2 linked regions of the Kluyveromyces lactis genome follow. The protein of the gene in region 1 purifies or fractionates together with the protein of each later gene. This does not show direct contact. Links are inferred from orthologs where the notes say so. Each region holds a gene or a part of one and is shown in the gene's direction. Other genes may lie near its edges. The genes, in order: SEN2 and SEN34.

The links.
Region 2: the proteins of SEN2 (region 1) and SEN34 purify together in Saccharomyces cerevisiae (affinity purification with western blotting; 4 studies listed by BioGRID, with this or other methods). This does not show direct contact. The link is inferred for Kluyveromyces lactis from reciprocal best matches to the Saccharomyces cerevisiae genes SEN2 and SEN34.

What each region holds. Positions count from the first base shown.
Region 1 is NC_006042.1:1,837,252-1,840,344, reverse strand, and holds SEN2 (tRNA splicing endonuclease subunit SEN2), read left to right. Parts: upstream 1-1,361; coding exon 1,362-2,471; downstream 2,472-3,093. Other genes in the region: REA1 (AAA family ATPase midasin), read left to right, coding at 1-663; LCL2 (Lcl2p), read right to left, coding at 2,646-3,050. UniProt on the Saccharomyces cerevisiae protein: Constitutes one of the two catalytic subunit of the tRNA-splicing endonuclease complex, a complex responsible for identification and cleavage of the splice sites in pre-tRNA. It cleaves pre-tRNA at the 5'- and 3'-splice sites to release the intron.
Region 2 is NC_006037.1:783,077-786,138, forward strand, and holds SEN34 (tRNA splicing endonuclease subunit SEN34), read left to right. Parts: upstream 1-1,522; coding exon 1,523-2,416; downstream 2,417-3,062. Other genes in the region: calcium-transporting ATPase PMC1, read right to left, coding at 1-292. UniProt on the Saccharomyces cerevisiae protein: Constitutes one of the two catalytic subunit of the tRNA-splicing endonuclease complex, a complex responsible for identification and cleavage of the splice sites in pre-tRNA. It cleaves pre-tRNA at the 5'- and 3'-splice sites to release the intron.

The sequences.
Region 1 (3,093 bases):
ATTTGGTTAAGAAGAACAAAACCAAGTAAGCGTCAATATCAAATCATGATTGCAGTAGACGATTCCAAATCTATGAGCGAATCAAAATCTGTCAATTTGGCTTTCCAAAGTATCTGTTTAGTCTCTAAGGCTTTAACTCAACTTGAATCCGGTGGTTTATCTATCGTGAAATTCGGTGAAACTGTAAGAGAAGTTCACCCATTCAACCAACCTTTCAATACCCAAACTGGTGCTCAGACTTTCCAATGGTTTGATTTCCAAGAAACAAGAACCGATGTCAAGAAATTGGTAGCTGAAAGTATCAAGATCTTTGAAAGAGCAAGAGCTATGGAGAGTAACGACCTATGGCAATTGGAAATTATCATCTCCGATGGTGTTTGTGAAGACCACGAAACATTAGTAAGATTGGTTCGCAGAGCAAGGGAAAATAAAATCATGCTCGTTTTCGTTGTCATCGATGGTATTAACTCTAACGAATCAATCATGGATATGTCTCAAGTGAACTATATTCCAGATCAATTCGGCAACATGAAACTATCAGTCCAGAAATACCTAGACACATTCCCATTCGAATTCTACGTTGTCGTTCATGACATTACCGAACTCCCAGAAATGTTATCCATTATCTTAAGACAGTATTTCTCAGAGATGGCATCCATGTAGATGGACAACATCACGTCAAAAACCTAAAAAAAAGTATAAAACTGTACAATAGATCTTTAACTAGATACCGTAATAACAATATCAACAATAAATAAAAATATACCAATATTTCATGGTACTAAACTATTTAAAGCCCTAACCCAGACCCGGCTCAACACATAGAATCTCTGCCTCCTTAGAGCCCGAAATGTATAGAAATTGTCCGTTGTATGTGATACTGACATTTCACAAACGTGAAAATTTTCATTTTTCAGTATAAAAGGCCAAAAGCGATGAGCTTGGAAGAGAAAAGATATGTTTGATGCCACATATATAAGTATTCTGATCAACCAAAAAATAAACCAACTGTAGTTGATTCATACAGCCAGCATACTTACTGTTCATAGATTCCAGATGGAGTGAGCGGTAAGATATGTTACCTCTGTGGATATTTTTCTTTTTTGAAGGGCTTTTTCTTTATATATGATGATAAACCATTTTAGATGTCTCGAAGAATTTATTTCAATGTGAGCACACGATTTCTCAATAGACTACAACGGTATCTGATTTGTCCTTTCTCTACTCTAATTCGTACCCCTCTTAGTAAAATATGTAAACCTAATATCACTCCTTAACTCTGTACTGCTTATTCGAGTTTTTAGTTATTGAAACTTAATTCTTTTGAATTAGAGATCAGTTATAAAACCATATTTTGTCCAATGCTAATCTCTCTTGCATGTTTAGTAACTATATATGAAGACCGCGGGAGGCAAGTACTTACAATGTCGAAGCGATCTCATAGAAATCAGCTGCAATACAAACATGCGTTGCCTATAGAGGCGCAGCCTGTACCGTCTGTATGGAAACATCCCTTTCAGGCATTTTCCTGGATATTAGATTGGGCGATGAGATGGAGTGAAACCAGAATTATTGACGTCAAGATCAACCAATTAGGTCAAATTTTGGTATGTGATCAATGGCAGATGAAGTATTTATGGGAACACGGATTCTTTGGTACTGGTCAACTATCTCGGAGTGAACCCAACTGGCAGGCAAGAACAATGTCTCGATTGCAACTAAATGATGCTGATCGAATCAACTTAGAGCATGTTACAGACGTTAGAAGAAGGCAGCGGCTCGAATTCAAGAAACTGAGAGCTGAATTTGAAGCCAAGAAGTTAGAAATGAGACAAAAGGGGATTGTAGACGAACAATTCATTGAACAAGAAAGGTTATTCTTAAAGAATCAAAGAGATAAAGAATTAGCTTTTGAAAAGGACTCGATGCAAATACGTGACGAAGATTTAAGATTAATAGAAGGCAAATCAGTGATTCAACTAGAAAGCTTGCAATTGATGCCCGTCGAGGCTATTTTCCTCTCTTATGCAGTGCCGGTATTGAAGATCACATTGCAACAATTAATGGTTTCGTTGGTACTGGAACCGAAAAGTTTCCAAGACATCAAGAAATTAATTCATCAATATGTCGCGTACCATCATTACAGGTCCAAAGGGTGGTGTGTACGATCGGGGATAAAATTTGGTTGCGAATACTTATTATACAGAAGAGGACCCCCTTTCCAACATGCGGAGTATGGAATCATGGTTTTGGATGCAAACCAGTCAAATGATTACACTTGGTATTCAAGCGCTGCCAGAGTCGTGGGCGGAGCCAAGAAACAGTTTGTATTATGCTACGTTGAACAACTCATACCTGAAGATGACTTAATGGAACTTTGGAAGCAATCAAAGTACGATGAGCTTTTCAGAAACTTTAAAATCCATGAATTGTTATACAAAAGATGGGTTGCAGGTAAGAACAGAGATTAACTGTTCCGAACCGGTAACGATCTTTTCCGCGAAGAACTCAAACGAGTAAAAATAAACCCATGCTAGTTAATTGCATTAAATACAGTAATGGTCTGTATTATATGTCTCTATATATATTATCAGTTTATGTTTGTAATAGTATTATGGCCGATACAGAAAGAAAGATCTCTCATTCTAAATCTTGCCGTCATATACATCCAAGATCCATCCACAATCTCTGAATCCCTCAGTACGTTGAGCTGGTCCCATTACTGGATCATCATAAATCTCTACCAGTGTTGGATCATGTGTTGCTGGCTTTGAGATGCAAATTACCTGACCGTTGGGTAGATTGCATTTCAATTGTGAATTAGGGAACGGACACGCACAATCCGACTTCTGTCTCACACAATCCAATGTCTGTGGACATAAATAATGCGGACAGTCATTATCTAGGAACATTTGCTGGTAAGAGCCAACATCCCGCTGTTGCTGCTGTTGCTGCTGTTGCTGTCTATTCTGGTGACCTGAATCGAAAAAGAATCCAGACACAGCTTGTAAAAAGAATGCTGAACCAATTATTGTTCCCAGTAGTTTCATAGTAAGTTAAGATCTTCGTATTTCGTAATACTGCAATATGAAA
Region 2 (3,062 bases), on another chromosome or scaffold:
CAGTTAGTGATTTGGGATCGTGTAATTCCGAAAGCTGAGATGGAGCCAACTTGAAACTCGACGCCTTGGTCATTCTATTCACAGACATCATGGTAATTTGAGTGTCGTGATGTTTTAAAGGTTTAACGGCACCTATTGAGGTGGATGTAACCCCTTTGTTGAGAGGTCTAGTTTGCTCTTCAGTCTCTACAGTTTTATTCTCATCTTTCTTACTCTGTAACCCAACAAAACTTTCCCTACCGGTAAGAGAAGGGCTGTGTGCTTCATCAACGCCTTCATTCAAAGAGCTCATACTCAAGTCGCTAAAGAAATAACCTGTCAGTTAGCAGGGTAGGAGAGAGCACCACAGGGTTAATATGAATTGCCCTTTCTAAAAACTTTAACACAAAAAAGTGAGAACTTTCTTCTGAATATTATAATCAAATCAACAATTAGCACGCCAAGGAATGTATTCTGTAAGCCAATTCTTGTTCTTTTTCCTTTCTTAATAACGATTTCTTCTTTTGTTAGTTTTCCAGTGCCAATGAAAGCCTTTAATGCGTGGAATTAATGATTCAAGTTAATCTATATATATGACAAACCCATTCAGCAAACATAAAACGATAAAAGCATAAAAATGTCCGGAAAGCTTATGATTACGATGAATTAGGATAAGGATAAAGTTGAGGAAGGGTCGCAGCCTTGAAAAGATGCATTCTATTAGTCTTGATCTTTCGGTTTTCTGTTTTTTTGTTTTTTTTCCTGTTACAAACTTTCGGGGCTTAGTAGTCTATATACATTTCGTAATCATACAGAATATGCAACTACGGTACCTACTTAATCAGATGTAGTAATTGGCAGCTGATTTTTCCAGCCTGGGAATATATGGATGATGAAAAATTGGTGTGATAGTGCCCTGCATATGGATATTGGATAAATGGTTCTAGAGTGTCAATTTCCCACAGGGTGGCTGGCCATCTCGCTTACTTTAATGATTCCACAGTGGTAATGAAGGGGAAAAAAAAAGAGAATGGACCCTTACTCAATTGGAATTGAGGCTAGGCTTAGTGTTTGATATCTGATTCTGGATATAACGAGATTACCCCCCGCAAAGGAAGTGAGAGAGGCGGAAGAAGCCAGCCGAATGTGGTATACGTACCCACGGTATCGCAAGCTATCTTGCTAAGCCACATCAAAAGAGTCTGCACAGTATCATTTTCCATGTAGCTGACGGAAGTTTTTTTGTCTGGTCTGTAGCCTATGTGTTCTACAATTGATTTACAGTTTCACCGGACTATGTCACTTGCTAGTTGCTACTGTGTCGCTTGTGAATCGCCCTTTCCGGTCTAGCTTTGTTAAAAATCGCATCAACTTTTTTCTTTTTTTCGCTCATCGGAATAATTAAGGCCAGTAGACAGCATTTGGTTTGAACAGTATACATACATGCATTCAAGCAAACAGCCAGGCAGCTCATCGCTCATGGACCAACTGTAAACCTTCGGTACCTATTTAAAAGATAAGCGGGAAATCGTAGCAGTGTCACATGGAATACAGAGAGAGTTTTACAAAAGCAATGAGTGAGAAGGCCAAGATTTATTTGGTAGGATCCAATTTGGAAGACGGTGATGGTGATGATGCATCATCGGTGGTCCCTGTACTGTATGATGTCGACGATATTGCCAAGATAAGAGAACATGGCGTGGCTGGTGTTTTAATTGGTACCTTGGGAGGTGCTCCGCAGCAGAACGTGTTCCTTGGAGTCCCGCTTCGATTGATGATGGAAGAGGCCTTGTGGCTTGTTGAAGTTGGACATGCAGTGTTTAGGCATGTAATGGGCCAAGACTTGATAAAGTCTCTAAAGGGTTTAGATGGCGAAAAGTTACAAAAATTCAAAGACGACAGAGCAAACGATGTAGCGCAACAGTTAGAATGGAAACGGGCTAATTTCTTGCGGAAAATGAAGACCCTTCGAGGCGCAAGCGATGTTGCAGTACCGAGTGACGTAATTAACGAAAGGGATGAACAATTGATGAAACAGTCTATCTTCATCGAGACCAAGGATACTTCAGCTGTCATTGAACCAAGCCTCAACGATCAAACAATAGATCAACGAAAGATATGCGAACAAATCTTGAGACAAAACGAGAAATTGAGGCTAAACTATAAGGTTTACAAAAAATTGAGAGAAATGGGGTATTTCATGTCACCAGGAGCCAGGTTCGGCGGACGATACGTTGCGTACCCGGGGGACCCTCTCCGATACCATTCGCACCTTACTGTGCAGGATGCAAGAAGCAAAGATGAAGAGATAGATTTGTTGAACATGATTAACGGTGCACGTTTGGGAACGAGCGTCAAGAAAACGTGGGTACTGCCCGGTATAAATGAAAATGGGGATGCTGAATTTTACTCTGTAGAATGGGCAGGGTTTGGCTGAGGAAGTATACTTTATTTAAGTTTCGTATGTCCTTTACTTAAGTTGTGCATGTATTTTATTTAACGTTTCATGCAATAATATGGGCATTCCAGCCTTAAACAGAAAATTGAGAGATAAAGTTTGGCCAAGAGGAGAAAGAGATGAAAAAAATGAGAAAGGGATTAAAGCAGTGAGGGGAACGAACCAGACATGACATGACATTCAAGGCCGATGGTGGTCCTATGTTAGATTGAAATTTTCAAGTTATCTAGGCAACATGGCCGAGCGGTTAAGGCGAAAGATTAGAAATCTTTTGGGCTCTGCCCGCGCAGGTTCGAGTCCTGCTGTTGTCGTTATCTTTTTTGTTTTTGCCATTTGCATAGCAAGACAGGGCAACACCATCGAACTAGGTCTCCATCAGAAACTGGAAAATCAGAAAATTTGGGCAAATGGCGCAGTTGGTAGCGCGCTTCCCTTGCAAGGAAGAGGTCATCGGTTCGACTCCGGTTTTGTCCATGACTTTTTCCAATACAGACGAGTTTCTTTCTTTTTTTTTTTTTTTCCTACCAAGATCACCTAGCTCACAGGAGTTAGAGCTGAACGGCCGGCAACGGGTCGTCCATCGACCAGCCATTGACTAACCTATTATCCCAGCGGGCGGGTATAA